Diceros bicornis minor: one gene and its partner. The protein of the gene in region 1 interacts with the protein of each later gene in a pairwise test. Links are inferred from orthologs where the notes say so. Each region holds a gene or a part of one and is shown on either strand. Other genes may lie near its edges.

Region 1 (10,391 bases):
CCTTTTGGGAATTGCTCCTATAAACCATGTGGTCAGCCCCAGTGAGAGAATTTAGTCTAGCTCCCTCCACCCTGGTCAGTGGGGTGGGCCCGAGACCTAAGCTGGGCTAATTATGCTACCCCACTTGCCTGCCTGGTCTAGGGTAGGTGGGTCATAAGACCCATGTTCTTTTTTGTTTAACTTATCTAGGGTTGGATTTCTATTACTGTAACCAAGAATCTTGACTCATAAGAGAGTAGGAGAGACAGGGTAGATGGAAGTCAGGGATGAGAGGGGATTTGACAAAGGACTATATTACATACACATATAAGACACCCATTACAAAAGCTATTAAATAAATCGGAATTGCATGCAAACTCAGAAGCATACAGGGGTTAGACAGCTGACATAAATAAGCTGACCAGGTTTAGTTGATGGGACCAAGAATTTTTTCACCCTCCTCTTAACAAATCAGATAATATGTCCTGAGACAACTGGGAGTGATGCGGACTGTGTTGAACTAGAAAGGTCCATCTACAGTGGTGGTCCTTACTCAGATTCAGCAATTGCTGCCCTGTGGAAATCAGGGCCCAGTATCATCAGATCTTCCTATTTCTCAAGAGAAGTCAGAAATCAGAATTTCTATATAAAAATTTAGAAAATTGTAAAACACTGTGTGGCAAGTTATAATAATCTGCAAAGAAACCAAAACTGAAACCGAGCAAGAAGAGGTTAAAAAATCTTCCCTGGGCTAGAAGAAGAGAGCAAAAACTTTGAGATAAGCTTTGCTAACTGCAGCTGTGCATACTCTGCATAATCAACTGTTGTTTAAAACTAACCAGGTCTTTCTGTCCCTCCTCAGTATATGAGTGAGCTGTCTTTCTCAGGAAATCCAGGTACAGACATCAAGATTCAGCCTCACAAGGCCAAACGCAGGCTGAAGATGAAAACTAACCAGAAAAGTCCAGACAGTCAAGGGAGAGAAATTCAGTCTTCAAGGCCAAACACAAGCTGGTGGGAAGGTGCCAACCAGCAGGTCCACATGCTCCCCCTCCCCTACCTGAAACTCCAGTAGACGCTCCCCCTCACAACCTTTAAAACCCCTTGCCTCCCATCTTTCGGGGAGATGGGACAAATCTGAGAGCTCTTGTCTCCCTGCTGACGTCACCTGAAATAAAACTCTTTCCTTGCCGTGAGCCTGGTGTTCCAGTTTTATTTGGCCCCTCTTGTGTGGCGGGTAAAGAACCTGGGTATGTATCCTGTAACAAAACCAAACCAAACAAACAAAACCCCAAAGCCAACAACCTTCATTTCTCATCTTTGGAGGTTGCTAAGGTAACGACTCACTATTCTGAAAATTCATAAAGAGACAGAATCAAGCATTTATCTTGCCCTTCCTATATGAACTGTACTTCAAGGTAATTAGTTAACAAATGAAACATTACTCTTTATAAGAGAATTATGGCTAATAAATTCAGGTGAAGTGACAGAAATAGAAAAATAGCCATTTTGTAATCCCTAACAATGGCAATGATCAACAGCTGCTAAAACCACTAGTTGCAAGGGTAACGGAGGAAACTTTATAACGTGTGGTTCAGGCTGACGTCACCGGAACACACTGATCACGCTCAGTGTTGCTGAAAACGAGACAGTCAGACATCATGCACCCCAGATGTCATACAATAGAAATGTGTTCAGAGCATCACCTCTGATACAGCCTGGCAGGAAAAAAATCCAGAGACAGAAAGAAAAAAAGGAGCCTGGATTTGATCAGACCTCTGGGTCCCAGCATCAGTTTACAAGAAATATGGAGAATAAAGGAACATATTAAAATGAGGGTAAATCAGCCAAATCCAGAAAAGGGGAAATTCTACAGGGCAGTTTCTTCCACAAATAAATGGCACTAGAAACAAATGCAGACACTTATCATCCAGATCTTGGCTGTTAATACCGTGTTCTAATAAAAGGGACCAGGGCTCATTGGAGAAATACAGGATTCTAAGGCCGGGGCAAGGAAAATACAAGGTGAGCCTGGAGCATCCTGTAGTGTCAGAAAGTAAGAAAGCGCTGAAAGGAAAAAAAGGAACATGGGGCTTTGTGGAAAGGACACAAGAGCCACCTGACAGAGCCACAAAGGCCAGAGCTGGAACAATTTGAGTAAGAAAATAAAGTACTATTGGATTTTTAACCCAAAGTATAAAATAAATATACTTAAGTCCATACTGATATAAACAAATGATTGAATAAATAAATAAATGGAGAGAAAAAGATAAATCTTCCTTACATAAGAATTCTAAATGCAGATACTCTCCCCTCAGGAGGCGGAGCTTAATTCCCATCCTTTTGAGCGTGGGCTGAACTTAATGATTCGCTTCCAAAGAACAGAAGGAAAAATAGCCACTTTACAATGAAGAAACCTGGCAGACACCACCTTCACCAAGTGACCAAGGTTAACAGCACCCATGATAACTCATGTTAATATCATGGAACCCCTAACATGATACAATGAGAAGGGCACTTCACCTCTGTGGTATTCTTCCCCCAAAACCCCAAAGCCCAGTACAATCATGAGAAAAACATCAGAGAAACCCAAACTGTGGAGGATTCTACAAAAAACCTGAACAATACTTTCCAAAACTGTCAAGGTTGTGAAATAAAGGAAAGACTGAGCAACTACCACAGATTGAGGGAGACTAAGGAAACATAATAACTAAATATAATGTCAGATCCTGGAACAGTAAAAGGACATTAGTGGAAAAACTAATTAAATTTGAATAAAGTCCATAGTTTATGCACCAATGTTAATTTCTTAGTTTTGACATGGTTATCTAAGATATTATTAGGGGAGACTGAGTGACAGTTATGTGGGAACGCTCTGCACTATCTTTATAACTTTCCTATTAATCTAAAATTATTTCCAAATACAAGGTTTATTTTTTTTTAATGCAGAGAAAATGTTAGAGATTTTTAAAATATTGAAACATAACGAAACACAACGCGTGGACCTGATTTTGATCCAGCCTGGAACAAGCCAACCATAAAAAGACCTGTTTGAGACAATCAGACTGAGTGTTAGATGCTAACAAGAAATTGTTAATTTTGTTGGGTGTGATGACGGTATTGTGGTTATGTTTTAAAATCCTCATCTTTTCAAGATACAAACTGAAGTACTCACAGATGAAACAATATGTATGGATTTTGCTTTGAAGTACCCACTCCCACAAAACAAGCAGAGGGGAGGAGAGAGAAGAAATAAGATTAGCATAGAGCTAATGATTGTTGAAGCTGGCGAAGGGTACATGGACTTCACGGTAATGTTCTGTCTACCACTGTTCGCATTTGAAAATTTCCATAAATAAGAAGGCAAAAGAACAGAACCAAAAGAAAAACAAAAACACTGTGGGCCGAAGCATACACGTAGGCAGACAAAAATAGAAGGCTGCCAGTTTGAAGCCATTGAAGTAAACAGACAATTTACCTAGAGATTGTATGATTAAAAGTTCTGGGAGTAACTGGCAAATTTCAGGTTCATTGCTTTTCTCCTTATTAATTTATTGGTAGTAGATCGGAAGCCAACGATTAAGTAATAGTCAAAAGTAAAACAGAATTCCATCAACGACATTCCATTTATAAAGAAAAAACCCCTTGAAAGGAAGGAGTCTTCTGACTCAATGAAGCATGTCTGTAATGTTAGTGGGAGAGGACTCCACAAGGCTCCGCCATTTATGTTTTCCTCAATAGTCTCAAGGCTGTACGACAGGAAGAAACAGCATATAGGGTACCTCAACTCCAGCAGCAGCTAAAACCCATCTTACGGATTCCATCCGGCCTCTCCCGTTTGGATAGTGGAGCTTGGGCTGCGCTGCCATGATGGCCTTTCAGGTTTTCTGAAAAACAAATCCAGCAGCTCCTCGCACACGAACAGTCTTAATTTCGTGTCCTCAACCCAGTGCTCAGGAGCTAAACGAATATTCAGGATTTTGGCACAGGAAACTGTTTTTTTTAAATTATTACTGCGTTCTCTCTCACTCAATAAAAACATGCCACCATTTTAAAACATTTAAAAAAACAAAAAACGAACCACCTTGGCTTTCATATTGTTTCTATTTCTGATTTCTTATTCTGGATCTTAGGAAGCTGGGGCCATTTGTTGTAAAGACATCTGTGCTAGCAGTACGGTACTTCACAGATTCAGAACATCATATACTTTGACCTTGAAAATCTTAGATTTTACAAATTCGGCCTGGAGAGGCCAGACGCGGAGAAGAATTACACGCCCACTGGAACCTCTGCAAGTATTCGTACTTTCACATGCATCATCATATTTGATTATCACAGCAACTGGGAGATGGATAGGCTAAGTATTACTATTGTCTGCAAAATGTGCGTCCCTCGCCACGCCTGCGGTAGCCGCCCCCGGGTCCCGCACGTCCCCCGCCCCCGCTGGGAGATGAGCCCCCAGACTGGCGAATGCTCCCACGCCACGCAGTCGGCCACCCGAGACGAGACTCCCGGGGACTCCGCGCCCCCGCTCAGCCCACGCTGGGCTCGGCCCGGGGAGGATCCGAGCCTGCCTTCCATCAATGGATTCAGACTCTGCAGAGCGGGTTAATAAAAATACGCACGCTGAGCCAAGAACGACCCCAACCCCAGCCAAGGGCCCACGTATGCCCAGATGGGGGCAGAGGCGCCAAAGACAAGAGGGAGGGAGACTAGAGAAGGATTGAATGGAAGAGTGGTTACCGGATGGATGGGAGAGTTAGAGGCTCGAAGCCGGGAGAGTAGAGGGGAGGAGAAGGAAGAGGAGAAGGGGCTGGTGGGGGCAGCAGGGGAGACAGACCTGGAGGCCGCTCGGAGCACCTGGAGCCGCACAAAGCCCACCACAAGTGCTCTGCGGCGAGGCGGGAGCAGCGGGCGGCCAGAAGGCACTCACGGTGGGCGAGGCTGCGGGAAGATTTCACCAATAGAGACGGCAGTATTTAGCATGCCCCACCCATCTGCAAGGCATTCTGGATAATATAAAAACAGCTCCAATTTAAGCCAATTTCAACAGCAATTTTAGCATTTTGAAGGGTGAAATAACCTGTAAAATGTTAGTTAGATTTGGACTTTAGTTAAAAGTTCCTATTAGCGCTCAGGCATGTGGTAAACAACTCGACCTATGCGAAAAGAGAGCATTCTCTACAGGGTTTATATACCTCGTGCTCAAGTGTGGTCCCTCGGATGTGAGGGCGATCTGGCTGCGACATCTGTCACCCCATTGATCGCCAGGGTTGATTCGGCTGATCTGGCTGGCTAGGCGGGTGTCCCCTTCCTCCCTCACCGCTCCATGTGCGTCCCTCCCGAAGCTGCGCGCTCGGTCGAAGAGGACGACCTTCCCCGATAGAGGAGGACCGTTCTTCGGTCAAGGGTATACGAGTAGCTGCGCTCCCCTGCTAGAACCTCCAAACAAGCTCTCAAGGTCCATTTGTAGGAGAACGTAGGGTAGTCAAGCTTCCAAGACTCCAGACACATCCAAATGAGGCGCTGCATGTGGCAGTCTGCCTTTCTTTTGACAATGTAACTAAGAAATCTTTTGACAGTGTAATTAAGAAACTTTTGTTGGGAGGCAAAAAACAACAGGCATCAACGTGAAGGCTCAGCACACTGAACGACTTGTAAATACCAGCTGTAAGGTAACTTGTGTAAGGTACATACAGCGAATTTTTGAAAGGTGTTATGTAGGCAAAGTACTATATAACATAAAAGTGCTGTTAACGCATATTTTATTAAACAGTAGAACTTAATTTCTCTCATTTTGTGTATATACATATGTATATATATTTTTATTATTATTTTTACTATACATAGCACCTTCCTGGATGGGACGAAGGTGGGGGCATTGGGGTGAAGGTGTCAGTGGGGCTAAACAAGTAATTTGGCTGGTAAATAAGTTGAAACTTTTAAACATATTTTAAAACCATCAAGGCTATATTATAGAGTATGATGCAAAATTCACATGAATTTTAAACTTAAAAATATGTACCTTCAAAAGGACTTCAAAACTATTTCTTGTTTTTAGAGGCGGTTTCTGCGCTCAGACTGTACATTTGTTGATTATTGTTTTCACCCAGGAGGGGCTCTTGAGACTACCTGGCTTGAGAAGACTGTGGTGCTGATCAATCGCAGTAACTAATACAATCATATATTATTTTCAGTAGATTTCTAACATAAGTGTGGAGAATGAATTGGGACAGTGCAGGGTCGAGAAAGAGAGACCTGTTAAATGTCCGTGTGAGTTCAAGTAGCACCGTGAGTCTGAAGAACATGGGTAAGAAAAGGTGAGATATTAAGGAGTAGAGGAGAGGAGGAAGAGAAAAGTCTAGAATGATGCCGCTCCAAACACACACACACACAGCCACACACACATTTCCTTTTCCATCCTCGTCTGTTTTTCATAACATTTATTGTCCTCTAACATACTAGATATTTTATTTATTTTGTTATCTGTCTGTAGATTTGATAGAAGGTAAATTCCTTGAGGTTAGAGATTTTCATATTTTTAAAACATACTTTTGTATATCCTGCTCCTAGAATAATGCTTAGCACAGAGTAGGCATTCAGAGAATACTTGTTGAAGGAAAGAAGGAGAGAAAAGAAGGAAGGAAAACAGGGGAGGGAGGGAGGGAGGAAGAGAGAGAGGTTTGGGGGAAATAATAATCAGTGGATTTGTCTTTCATTCCTATGAGCCATCCGACTGGAAATGTCCACTAGACAGTTGAACAAGCCGGTGATGACTCAGAAGAGAAGACTAAGATGGATCACACTGGCAGCAACAGGATGAGCTGATCCAGAGAAAGGATATAAAGTAAGAAGAGAAAAAAATCAACAACAGCTGGGCACCCCTCGAGTCAGAAAAGCCACACTTTCAAACACGAATAACAGTATATGTTCAATTTCATCTTTCTAATTCTGACCTAACACAGATTACTCAATTTAACCTGGGTAGGAAGTCATTATTTTCCAACCCTGCTGAAACTGATCATTCATTTTTTCCAACCCATCTTTCTACAAGGATTCACTTGAATTAAACTAGTTAGGACAAACATGATTATTCAATTTTGTTCATAAACCAAACATTTATCTCCATTTCCTTATTTCTAATTGTTTGAACCATATCAAATTGCTGATACTTTCCTATTTCTTTCTAACCCACAAAAATGGCAACTTCATATGTCCAACCTAACATTACAGGGGTCAAACTATCCTAGCAATCTTGTTTACCTGAAAGAGAAACTAAGGCATCATCATATGACTCTATTATTACCATGCTTGTGGAGAGATACAAGTCCTGTTATAATAATTCTGCCATTCTATGACAGGTACCCTCAGGTCATGTTATTCCCTGCAAGCCCCTGAAATCATGCTATTCTTGGAAACCTTCCGAGTTGCTCTCCGTCTCGGACAGTCTTATTCACAGTGTCTATCCATCTACCTAATGTATTTTCAGAGGCCCGGGGAGAGCCTCTCAGCCTTTAACCCTTCACCAACCTACTCAGTAGCAGGTAAAATTGCCTTAAAAATCAACAGCTTTAAATCTCAGTTTAAGAGAAGCTTTATACGTAAGTACTCCAGGGAGAGGGAAACAATTGGCTTAAATTCAGCCTTAGCCATAAATGACTGGTATCAGACCCTATTCTAACAATGCGTTTTTATAGCAGGAAGGATGGCTGAGGGCTTGAATCTGTGGGGCTTCTGAAGGGGCACGGTGGGCCCATATGCCATAAGGTCACACAGTCAGCTCAGCCATGTTCTGAGGGTGAGGGGCACATCTAGGGATTCACCAATACCAGTCCGATTGGTAAAACATGTTCCTGCACACTTCTTTCAGGGATTCAAAGAATGTTTGGGAAATGAATTTCCTGTGGAATCCTGTATATAATTCATGAAGTTATGAGCTTCTTACATACAAGGTAGGTATTAATCGTGATGACATCAGCAACAAGAAATAGTTTTTGACCTGGTTTTTTTTTTTTTTAATATCCTTAGTCACCTAATTTGCTAAAAGCTAAATTTAGAAAACCTCCACTTTGCAGGATAACTTCCTACTGTGGCTCTAGTGTGTGCTTCCAACTCCATGGCAGTAACACTGTAGTATGCATTAAGGAGAAGTTATAAAATCTCAAAATTCCAAATTAGGAAATAGTACTGTGATCTTTTGATGGCAGAGCACGAAAACAAAACCCGAACACTCCAGTCAATTTTTCTTAAACTGTAACTTTATTTGGAGCAGAATTTTCCTTACGTCAAGTTAACGTTTTTCAACACCTCAGGACAAACTATTCAAGAAGCAACACTTTATTTCAGTGGAGGCTTGCATAAGTGGTTTTCTGTCCTCCTATCTTCTCATCATTATGAATATTTGCTTTATAAATAAATATTCTCAGTGACTCCCTTGTAATCCAATCAGGGGACTAAACTGCTCTCAGTACTGAGAAATCTGAGATCAGAAGACTGTTCAGATCATTTTAAATTCACATTAGCACAGTGTCTTTAAGAAACTGATAATACAGATCAGTGTGACATTTGCCTCCAGTTTGTCTTCTTAATGGTTTCCATGAGAACGTCTTCACAATAAATTATATAAAATACAGTACTTTGGTTGGAAATTTAAAAAATAATTCTAAAAGTTAACCACATATATTAAACAAACAAGTTGCTACAGTGTGCTTTAAATGAGATAAAATAATTAGTATGTCAAATATTTTCTTATAAACATATTGCTTTTGGTTATACACCGAGCTGAAACATACAGCCTGCATTTTTTTCCTTTCTTAAATGGCACGAAACAATGGCTTGATGGTAGGGAAATGCTACTTCATGAGAAAACATGGTGCCCGTGAACTCCAAGGGTACCGGTATTGGTACTTAAAAACAAAACAACTCTTGTTTTGTTTTACATGTCTTTCCTTGATTGTATTCAATTTTTGATAACTCTGGAAGATGACATAGTGTCAATTTATTAGATGTACATGGTGGTCCTTTAGGCAAGAGACGTGTCTAAAAATTGTTTGAAAATCAATTTTCTTCCTACTTAAATCCTATCATACATGAGCTGGGGGAGGTCTTGGTAATGAATGGAATTTTATTGTAAAACGAACAATGACACCAAGAGTAGCTTTTACGCTCATGCAGTTTCCCTGCAGTTTACACATGGGCCCCCTGGCACACCACTGTCACTGAATGAGAGCCAGCCCTGCACCATCTCCTGATGTCCTGGAAAGCTTTCTGACTCTGAAATGAGGCACAGTCACGGGTAGGTGCAGTGAAACTCATCATTCCTCTTGGTGTCTTGTGGTACATTTCATAATTCTATAGTAACTAAAAAATATACGCAACAGGTAGATTTTATTTTCACTTAACAAAAAATGGTCACTATTCCCTTCTATAGTAAACAGCTTGTACACACAATGTGTCCTTTACCCATCTGGGGGAAAAAACAGAGAACGTCAGGATTTTGCTAGTTCTTTAGAATTGACGTTGTTTTTTCAGTCTTCTAGTTTTCTCAACTGTGCATTAGCTTCTTGACTTTCATATGAATAAATGTGTTTGGCTTCCCAAGGGAAGTTGTTTGCTAATAAACCAAGGAAAGAGGAAAAGGAAGAAAAGTGAAATATTTTCTGAATTTGGGCCCTACAAAAGTATTAAGAAACAATTTTATAATGTGTAATAACCAGGTAACTAGGTTTTTCAATTAAAAAAATATGTAACGACCTTAACATAAGCTAGAGTGCCAAGAATATGGTATTCACAATCCATTTGCTTCCCTAAAGGGTATTTACAATTTAAAACCAGCTTTCCAGCAAGCTGGGTAAGGTTACAGGTTAAATTATTCTTTATACAAAATACAGAAAGGGAAAATAAATATTAACCTCAGTAAAAGACTCATCTCTGAAAACACATTTTCTGTTGCTTTAGATAATGAGTTGAGAATATAATACAGAAATGAATTCAACTTCAAGTTGTGCATACATATACATATTTATTTTCTGAAGCTTTGCTGCCAGTTTGTTAACAGGAAAATATTACTTATCAAATCCACATCCATTATGTGCTTTCCTCATGCCTCTAGTGCTTGGTCAAATACATTTTTGAGCCAGATTCCCCAAAGCAGAAATACTCCCTGATTTTAGGTTCAGGCTCTCTGGGAGCCACAGCGATTTGTTCAGGCTGCAACGTATTATTAATACATCAAAGCAATAATTTACCAACTTTATTATGCTGAACCATGTCCAAGTGCCAATATTCATTTTAAGCTACAAAAATGACAATTTCATATGGGTCAACTTGCTCTATCCTGGAACCTGGAACCAAATGCCTTGAGAGAATGTGAGTCAATACACTATTGCGATTATATCATATTCACCAGTGGT
Region 2 (10,645 bases), on another chromosome or scaffold:
TCTGCTTTGCTGGAACTTTTTATAAGGAATCTCAGATTGAACTTTGAAGGCCTCTTGCAGGAAAGCAAAGCCAAGGACTTGTCATCAGACTCCACCTGCAATACCTATAGATTTGGGTGAACTCTCCTTTTCTCAAGGTCCCCAAAATATCCTGCGGTTCTTTGCATCTGCCAGGAAGTGACCTTTATTCACCTGGCAAGGTTGCTGGGAACCCTGTAAGCAAGGCACCAAGCCAGTATTTCCAAGTAGCTTTGTTTGTTTCATAAAGTCTATCTTTGTTCCTTTGTTCCTATTTTGGTCATATCTGAGTCTATGTATGTTTCTCTCAAATACGACATTCTTATATTACTAAAGTCAAAGCTTTAGTAATATAACCAGTGTTTTCTGTTATAAGGAGAACAGATTCTCATTGAACTTATGCAAACAACTGTATTGCCATGAAGGTAAGAATACTTACTCACTAAGAGTTTCCAAATTCTGGAGGGATCAGGTAGGGAGAAAAAGATAAATGCTTAAATTCTGCTTACAAAAGTATAATTTACCAAATTGCTATAAGTCATAGCTAGCTTAAGAAAAAATAGAAAAAGGTTTTCTTAAATCTGAAAAAACAAAACATTAAAAAATCAGCACTATTTCAAATGAAAAGTCATAAAAACTATAATCAACCTCATCAGTTCGTTTACTCCCCTGTAATCAACTTTTGATCTTGATCTTCTGTTAGCAGTTTCATGAAGTCATCAGCTTTTCCGTTAGAGCTCTGCAATTTCTTACCCAGTTCACTTTTATGATCTGAAAGTTTATCAGAAACCTGCATTCTAGAGCAAGTGTCAGAGTCCTTTCCATGACTCTCTGAAGATGAAACATATTTGCAAAAGCAGAGTAAAACAATAACTGTCTATAAATGTCAAAAGACTTCAAATGGGCTATAGGTCACTGTGAAACAAGGCTTAGTTATCCAGTCAACCAAAGTGACAAGAGAAGATGTTAAAGGCAAACACAGAGAGTTAAACAGTTTTTAAAAACCTTAATAGAGAGACCTCAGCTTTTTGAACATAGGAAACTATTTTGACAAAACACGGAATTTCTTTTATGTAGATTTACTCAAAAGGTAAAGAAAAATATTTTATAATCTCTTTATCAAGAGCAGAATAAAAGTTTAAGAAAATTATCCTTTTAAGAGAGAGAAAACCAAATTTTAATTTTGTACCAGCTTACTTTTGATATTAAAATTCATTTACTTAACTAAATTCATTTTAATCTTAGCCAACTTGACCATGCACAAAACTCTTTTCTCAGTTTTTCTTCCATAAAACTTCTATAACCTTTTTAACAAACAAAAATATCTTTACTTCTTATACCTTCTTTACTGAAAACATACGTCTTACGTTTCTTGAATACAAAGATGTTTTCCTTACTAATTTTTAGTAGCTTTAATCACATTTATTAATTAGAATTCTTAACCCTTACAGACCTTAATTTTTAGTGAAAACTAAGAAGTAAGCAGTTATGAACTGTCTTTTACATTAGCATTTTGTGGCTTGGCAAACTTATAAATACTTTTTATAATTTCTAGAAATATGTGACTTCATAGTACAATCTTTTAACTAAACACAAGACATATTTACTAATAGACCCAAATATCTTTTGGTTTGTCTGTAATAAGAAGCCAAAAGTAGACAAATCTATATTTAGTAATTAATGTCTAATATTTTATCTTATTTATAAATAATCTAGATATTCAATGAATTTTCCATCATTTAATTTAACCTAGCAAAACTTCAAAGTTTCAAATTACCAGAGATTTTGGAAGTTATTTTAAATACACATAACATAAAATATAATTATTGCTAAAAGTTTATCTATAAACTCTTGTCTCACATCTAAATCATTTGCTCTGAACAATTATGTTTAGATTACCCACAAAAACTTCATGAGACATTAGGCAAAATTAGCTATCATGTTAAGTTATTATTTTTGCTGACAAATTTTGTAACAGAGATAACATGAGTTTATTTCACTGGGAAACCCAGGTTGCATGTTTGCATTATACCCAATGTTGATAACTCTGAGGACACATCTATTTTAATCAAACCAACAAACTTAAACAAGCTTTTGTTTACCAAAGATTATTTTATATTACATTAACTTGAAAGACATTTGGGCTAGTTTCTATTACATTTAGAAATAATTTATATAACCACCTACTTTAAGCAAATTAAACAGAGCTCCTTTTTTTCTTTAGAAATTATACCATCTGGAGGTAAAATATCACACATATATAACATACATATGGACACATATACACAAAGACTCCACAGCTATTGTTTTAAAACTTTAGGATAATGTACCACATCTTTAAAATTCTGCACAAAGCATTTAATAAAGGTCCTCTTTCTAAGTGTACAATTTAACCCTAGACCAACTTACCTTGGGGGGTTGCTTTTATTATCTTTTTGTTAGCACCTGATATTAGCCTCTAGTTTTTATCTCATACTGTGTGGGCTCAGGCAACCCTCTTGACTTCCCTTTAGCAATGTTTAATTAACATGGTCTGAAGGGCATATTTATATGCTGTCTACAATCAGGCAGGGGAAACGTTCCCCAGCGAGACACAATGTCTATCCTCACAATACAATCTATAATACAGTTAGGCAAAAAGAGATGCAATCACATAACCACCAGCCCTCAAGGACCAGTTCAACTGACCCCATCTTATCAACAGAGTAATTGTTTTTAAGAGTCGTTTTTCAGAACTGAGACTCCCTTGTCCAGTTCAGGCCAGGTGAGACCACCAACCCTTCAACTGGGCCTGAGCAAATGCCTGATAGGTGCTCCTTTCCACACCAAAGGGCTGAAAACTCCACCCTCAGATCTTGCTAACACCACCATTTTGTGAACATGCGTCCCATGAAGAGCCATGAAGCTTGACTATACTTGCGCAGATCATCAATTACCTCACTTCTCCTTACCTCTGATCATCTATCTCCTTACCTCCAATCATCTACTGTGGCTGTGAATCTTTTCTTTTATAAAGCCTTCAAGGTGTGTGCAAGGGTGGAAGAGGGGGTGGTGGTAAGCCAAAATTTTTATCCCCTAAGGGGAGGTTTAGAGAAGATGAGGGACAGCTAAATATGCAGACAAATATTTCCCCCTACTGGAGCCCTGCCTGTCCCTGCAACCCATCCCTGCCCCCTCCTCTGCTGACCATCATTTCTGCTCCCTCCGACTTGCTCAGCCCCTCCGAAGCTCTCTGGCTCCTCTGCCCTGCCCCTCACCGGGGAGCCCCAGCCGGGATCTTCCCTCTGCCCGCCAACTCTAGAGCGGGCTGAGTCTACAGGAAGTAGGCGGGGCTCCTCCTGCCAGCCCGCCCACACCTGCCCTGCGGGGCGGAGCCCCACTCCGTTTTGCCGACTCTCCCAGGTGCTGCTCACACCTGGCCTAGGGAGGTCGCGGCTGTCGCTGCACACCTGAGTGGAGGCTGGAAGGTTCTTCCAGCACCTACTTTAAAGGCCTTCTTGGGGTTGAGAAAAATTCGTTAAAATACAACTCCACCAACCCCCAAATCCAGAGATTTTTGTCCTCTGCTGGAAAGTCTTATATCTAGTTAGATCACAGAATGTGAAGTGTGGAAGGGGCAGTGACTTGCTTAAGGACACGCGTACTGGACCCCAGTGTCCTGATTCCCAGGCGAGGCCTGCCTGAGAGCTGGGAGGCCCGGTTGAGGAATCCTCCCAGGCGCAGTGAGACCCGCCCAGAGTGAATCTGGACGCTTTTCCAGGACAGCGACCTGTGGAAAGAAAATGTGTTCAAGCTGGACTGGAAGGTGAAATCTATCCCCCGCCCCCCATTTTATTTTGAAAATTTATAAACACATAAAACAGTTGAAAGAATGGTATAGTGCACCCCCATAAACCCATCACTTAGATTCCACAATTAACAGTTGATTATTTTTGCTTTGTCACATATCTACCCATCCGTCTATCATCTTGGGCCCTCTGCGCAAGCCCAGTGTGGGCTCCATCCCCTCCTCTACCTGGAGCATGGCAATGGTCACTTCACCTACTTCTTGTCCCCTCCTGATGATTGTTCCCCGGCCACCACCTGTGGGCTTAGAGCCAGCAGTGTCCCCCCCCTTGTGCACAGACTCCCAGGCACAGTTCTAAACAGTCCTGCGGCCCGGCCCAGCCTCCAGCCTCGGGCCTTGCCTCTTCTCACAACTCCCCCAAATACCAGGCTCTCTCTTGCATGCAAGTTTTTGTACTCACCCCAATTTCTCCACCTGGGAAATCCTTTCCACCTTGTGAAGACCCAGCTGCTTGGCCCCTCTTTCATGAAAGCAGAATCCAGAAGAGATGCCCAGGTCTGGCGCCCGGTGCAAGCTCAGTGTGCTGGCTGGACTTGTCCCCACACCCTGGGCGCTTTGCGCATACCTCTGTGTAGCTCAGCTTTGTCTGCACTTAGTTGTCTGTGTGCCTGTTTCCCAGCTATGCAGAGAAGGGACCATCACGCCCAGCTGGACCAGTCCAGAGAACAGTTTCATGGAAGCAACTGTGAATCTGCCAACACACACAGGAGCTAAGAAGAAGCGGAGGGACCTGGAAGCACTGAGTGCCTTGGGCAGAAGCAGTGAGGGGATGTCTGAGGGATCAGCTGAGCCACACTAGGACAGGCCTGGGGCCACAGAGCAAACTCGTGCTGCACGGCTTCAAGCAGAAACAGGGCTGAAGGTTCGGAACGTGAATCTCCACCCTCGGGTTCTCACTGTTTCCTTCAGAGGATGGAAACTCAAGGCAAGCTCTTCAGTTAGGAGCTGAGCGACATTGGGCAGTCAGTCCTGCTGGTGAAGGCCTCGATTTCCTCCCCTGTAGAATGGGGTTGGAAATCTCTGCCTTGGAGGTTGGGAGGGTCCAGCAAGATAAAGGATAGTGCTTTGTAAACCCTCCAGGTTTACACAGATAGAACAGATATCATGCAATGCCTGGCGTATGCTCATAACCTCTTCCATCATTCCAACAGAGCAGCAGAAGCATCACACCAGTCCCTGCTCTGTGGTTCACAAAGCACCCACACACCCACCACCTCATGTGGCATCCACAGAGGGCAGAACAGAAGTATTATCATCCCTTCACATGCCCCAAAAGGGGCAGGGGCTGCCTAAGGGCATGTGGCAATGATCGATGATCAGGAGGCTGTGTCCAGACCCCCGTGTCCCGATTGGGAGCCCAGGTCTTTTCTTACTGCCCCTCTTTCCCTCCCCCATGCTGTAGGGAGGTCTCCAGCCAGCAGGGCAGGCGGCAGAGCCGAAGGGCCACTGAGCTGGGCATGGCACAGACCCAGGAACTCTGTCCACCCCACCGTGGGGCTCAGATGTGCCAGACACACACACACATGCAGGCCCGCCCCTTCCTGGGCACACTGGGGAGCTGCCCCGTTCCCAGGGCAACTGTCAACACAGATAGAAACTCAAAACACGAAACACAGCTGGACTCCAATGCTCACCCCAGCCTGGAGGGCTCCGTCCCCATCGGCCACTCCAAGCTCTGAGTCCAGAGGGGCAGTGAGGAGAACGCCTGCACAGGGTTAGGAGGGAGAGGTGTCCTGGGAGAGGTCCGAGCTCAGGCGGGAGGTGCTCTCTCCCTCTCTCTCTCTCTCTCTCTCACACACACACACACATACACACACACACACACACTTACACTCATGGGGAGCCACCACATCCCTGGGCTCCAGAGAACCACATCAGCTGGGTACCGACTGCCCTCCATCAGGCCACCAGCCTTAGTCTCCCCCACTGCCCAGGGCAGCCCTGTGGCGGGAAGGGGCCTTGCTGGTGGCCACCAGGCCCCCCAGGACCCAGAGGCCAAGCGGGCATCTCTGAGAGCTGACAATGTGCAGCAGGACCAGCTGTGGAGGGAGCTCCTGGAGGCCGAGAGGCGGAGCCAGCGGCGCTGGTGAGTGCCCTGTCCTGCCCTCCTGCCCTGCCCCCAAGCCTGACTTAGGATCTAGGAGGAGAAAGGGGAGTGAGAGGGAGTAAGCCAGACAAAGAGAGTTGGTGGAAAAGTGTGCCAGCGGGGGCCCGGGGCGGGGGGGGGGGGGGGGGGGGCAGGGGGGGGCGGTGGAGGGAGGATCCTGGCCGTGGCCAGACCTGGGCCTAGAGAGTTGGGAGGAGTGCAGCCCCAGTGCCTTCATTCTGGGATCCCATCAGCCCAGCCCATTGGAATAATTCCTCTAGCCAGGTGGTAGGGGAGACTGCAGGTGGGGGGCCAGGAAGCGGTGGCAGCAGTCTGGGGAGAGACGCTGGCCCACTGGCCCTCTGACCTGGGGAAAGGACTTCCCTTCGTGCATTCATTCAATTCAAAAACTCCCAGGAGAGCCGCTCTGTCGGGCTGCAATGGGGGACAAGACAGGCTGGTCGTGGCTCCACGGAGCCTTCCTTCTCAGGACAGAGCAGCCAGAAAGCAAGCAGAGGACGACGGATGAGAACCCAGTACAGAACAATGAGGACAGAGCAACGAGCACCAAGTGTGGCTGGTGTCATGGAGGAAACGAATGGGGACAGCGGGCGCCTCCTTTTTGCAGGTGCTCATGAGGCCTCTCTGAGGAGGTGACATTCAAGCTGAGACCTGAAAATGAGAAAGGGCCAAGAAAGAGTTTGGTGTGTTTTAAAAACAAAGCAAAACAAAGAATGTCCGTGTGGCTGAGGCAGTCAGTGAGGGGACGGGCTGTGGAAGGAGGAAGAATTCAAGGAATGTTTTGATGGTAGAATTACAAGAATTGCTGATAGATTGGAGTGAGTGTGTGTGTGTGTGTGTGTGTGTGTGTGTGTGTGTGTTGGGGTGTGGGGGACATTTACAAAGACAGGGCCGTCTGGTGCAGGGAAAACTGAACAGAATCAGGTATTTATGGGCAAGCAGGAAGAACGCGTGACACTGAGTAGACGTGAGAGGAGGGTTAAGGGTGCAGAGATCTCCAGCTTGGATAATTGATGGGAGGAGCAGGTATGGGGTGAAGATGCTGAGTTCTGGCAGAGTTCAAAATGCCCGAACCACGTCCAGATGGAGTCGCCCAGGAGGCAGTTGACTCTGAGTCGAGAGTTGGGCACTGAAAACCCACAGAGACAGAGAGCAGATGACAGGGGCTCTCCCAGGGCTTGAGGGCAGGGAAGAGGGGAGTGACTGCTAGTGGACACGGGGTTTCTTTTTGGGGTGATGAAAATGTTCTGGAATCACATAGTGGTGATGGTTACTCAACTCTGTGAATATACTGAAAACCACTGACCCGTATACTTTAAATGGATGAATCTTATGATATGTGAATTACATCTTGATTAAAAAGAGAAAAAGGTGAGCGTTGACACCGGAGACGGGAATGAGCTTTCCCCGGAAGAACTCGAGGCATCAGAAGAGATGAGGAGGTCGGCCAGAACTTGCAACGTTGACTGGATGGGCAGAAAAGCAGCCAGGAGCCCGAGAAGCAGCAGCCAGAGAAGAAAGCCCGGAGAGCAAGGAGTCACAAAAGCCAGGAGGAAAGGGTGTGGGGAAATCTAAGAGCCCAACAGAAACACAACATGAGCCACATACGCAATGTTCCGTTCTCTAGTAGCCACCTTAAAAAATGTAACAAGAAACTGGTGAAATCCATTGTAATAACAGATTTTATTTAATCCTATATATCCAAAATGTTATCATTTCTACATGTAGTCAGTATAAAAAAATTATCAAAGAGATATTTGATATTCCTCTTTGTATCAAGTCTTTGAAATCCGTTCATACTACTCTTATGGCACATCTCAGTTCAGACCAGCCACGTCTCTAACGCTCGATAAACCGACCTCATCTTGTTTTTTATAGACAGAGAAACTGAGGGCTCAAGAATACAGTGGCCTTGCTGAGAGCCACACAGCAAGCAGGCAGCAGAGCAAGGGCGAGAGCCCAGCGCTCTTTCCTCATACCTCGCTGGCTCTCGCTAAGACTTAGCATGACTCCGAGATCAAGGTCCCTGCCTTCTGTTAATTCAAAACCAAAGCTATTGAAACATGGCTCCTTCATGACAGCAAAGGAGGCGATGGTGGGTGGGAGGGGCCAAGACATTGTGGAAGATGGAGAGAGATGGACTGGCAGAGCAGGGAAAGTGCGGCATAAGAACTACAGAGAGGATGGAGGAGGAGGGCAACGGAGCTCCCAGGAAGGCTCAGGTGTGGCTGCACCCAACATCTCAGAAGGGTGGGCTGAAGACAGGAGGCTCCATTCAAAGTCTGTCTGTGGAACAGTTAGGCAACCTGAAAAAGAACCAAAAAGAACTTCTAGAAATGAAAATGTATATAGTTGAAATTCAAAACACAACTGAAGTGAGAATTCATAAAGTCAAGATAGATTAGAAGAAAATACTCAGAAAAACAAGGAGATAGAAAACATGACAGAAGAATTAGAACCCTCGAGAACAGAGCAAGAAGGTCCAACATAACTTCAAAGAGAGCTCCCCAAGGAGAGAGTGAGGGAGATGAAATATTTGAAGAGAAAATGTCTGAGAATTTTCCAGAACCAAAGAAATACATGAATCCACAGATACTGGAGGATGCACTCCACAAAGCAGGAGAGTAAACACGAAAGGAAGGCATGGGATCCAGAAAGAGGGAAATCCCAGGGTGGTGGTGAAGGAAGGGGCTGTGCCTTGGTCCTAGAGAGCAGCCCGTCTCATTGGAGCAGAGGACCCCAGCTCCCAGAGGGCGGCCTCTGCAGAAAAAACTTAAATGAAGTTATCGATTACCTGATGTGTTTCATTTTGTGGAGAACATATTGAAAGAGCCTTATAATTTTGTTCGAGAGTTTGGAATCAATGATCAGTACATGGAAACCTAAGAAAATTGGGAGAAAATGTAATTATTAATGCTAGGAAAACATTTTAAGATGGAACTGGGATCATATTATACTACTTATTTCATCATAAATAGTATTTGTAATAATATGGCTATAATCAATAAATATCAATTTAACCAAAATCTATAATACAGTTATTTTGGAAGAAATGAAGGGAGGACAAAGGGCAAGAAGGGTAACTCATAATCTCCTGTAACAGAAAGTCAATCGATAAGTTTACATTTGCAGAAACTCAGGAAATGGCAGTATGGGTTTATTATTTTAGAATATGGAAGTGAAAGGTGTGAAGAAAAGGCTAAAAGACTGGAAACCGACTCTAGGCCGTGGGCTCAGGGAATGTGAGGGTCGGGGCAGAGAAGGCTGTTTTTATTATGTCTTATAGAATTGTTTGACTTTTTAAAAATAGATTAGAATAAAATTAAATTACCAGCACAGGTAATGCCGGATGGTCCCTTCATTGCCACCCTCTTTTCCCTCACCCTCCCCACCTTCCTCTGCCACACACACTGGAAGGTTCCAAAGGCTTGGGGAAGTGGAAACTGGTTTTTCTTTACAAAATACTTGAAGACTCGCCCAGTGGCCTGGACAATGCAGAGGCGGTGAGATTGCGTCCTCTGCTGTTCCTCTGGCAACATCGTTTCCTCTCTGGGAAGATTGAAATGTTTGTTCATTTTATAGGATACGCCATAAATACTTGGTCGACATTTGGCATTCATTTCACTTAATCATTTTAGTTCCTCCACGATGTAACAAATGCATCAGCAGCATTAACAAACGCGTAAGTTTGACACCATGAAAGCCGTTTGTAAAAATGTCACTGCAAGATCTCACACTGCAAATGTGTTTTCCTTTCCAGGGCTCAGAATTGGAGTTTCCTGAAAGACTATGATCCCATGGTAAGACAAACCACGTTCCTACCAGACAGACTTGCTCTAGGAACGTTTATCCACTCATCTAACATTTACTGAGGATCTACTGTGTGCTAGATGCTGGGATGTACAGAGACAAATAAAATACAGTCTTGTTCCAAGAAACTCAGAGTCTAGGAGGAAAGAAAATACTTATGTAGAGCATTTAAGAAATTACTTTTTCCCAGTGTTTCTTGATTTTATTAAAATGAACCAGCTGGAAATGATAGGCGTCTGCCGCTGAAATTCTTCCCTGGTATGAGGATGCCAGCAATGTACAGTGATGTGTGCTGTGCCCCATACGGAGAAAGTGGGTGAACATACTTTGTGAACTAATCCCTGCCTCTAATATCACCCCCTCCAATCCATCCTACCAAAGTCATCTTCCTAAACTGCAAGACTGACTGTGTCTCTCCCCCGCTTAAAATCCTTCAGTGAATCTGCATTTTTCAGGGTGGCTTACAACGCTTCCAGAGAGCAAACCCTGCCTCCCGCCCCACCCTCCTTGCTCATCCCACACTGACCAACCCACCCTCTCTTTTATCCACGCCTTTGTGCATGCTGTCCCCCTGCCTGAAATGCCCTTCCCATCTTTTTTTGTGTGTGTGTGTGTGAGGAAGATCAGCCCTGAGCTAACATCCAAGCCAATCCTCCTCTTTTTGCTGAGGAAGACTGGCCCTGGGCTAACATCTGTGCCTATCTTCCTCCACTTTATGTGGGACGCCACCACAGCATGGCCTGACAAGCAGTGCATCGGTGTGCGCCCGGGATCCAAACCCAGGCCGCCAGCAGCGGAGCCCACGCAGTTAACCGCTACACCACGGAGCCGGCCCCATGAAATGCCCTTCCCATCTTGTCAGC

Evidence for each region. The genes of interacting proteins can lie anywhere in the genome.
Region 2: the proteins of GSTA4 (region 1) and C12H2orf50 interact in binary tests that used the Homo sapiens proteins (3 or more experiments, as listed by UniProt). The two-hybrid records come from large-scale screens. The link is inferred for Diceros bicornis minor from reciprocal best matches to the Homo sapiens genes GSTA4 and CIMIP5.

Annotation. Positions count from the first base shown.
Region 1 is NC_080753.1:13,857,253-13,867,643, reverse strand, and holds the start of GSTA4 (glutathione S-transferase A4), read right to left. Parts: upstream 4,884-10,391; 5' UTR 4,820-4,883; intron 3,867-4,819; 5' UTR 3,849-3,866; coding exon 3,762-3,848; intron 1-3,761. UniProt on the Homo sapiens protein: Conjugation of reduced glutathione to a wide number of exogenous and endogenous hydrophobic electrophiles. This isozyme has a high catalytic efficiency with 4-hydroxyalkenals such as 4-hydroxynonenal (4-HNE).
Region 2 is NC_080751.1:69,125,060-69,135,704, reverse strand, and holds the start of C12H2orf50 (uncharacterized protein C2orf50 homolog), read left to right. Parts: upstream 1-5,700; coding exon 5,701-5,951; intron 5,952-9,732; coding exon 9,733-9,772; intron 9,773-10,645.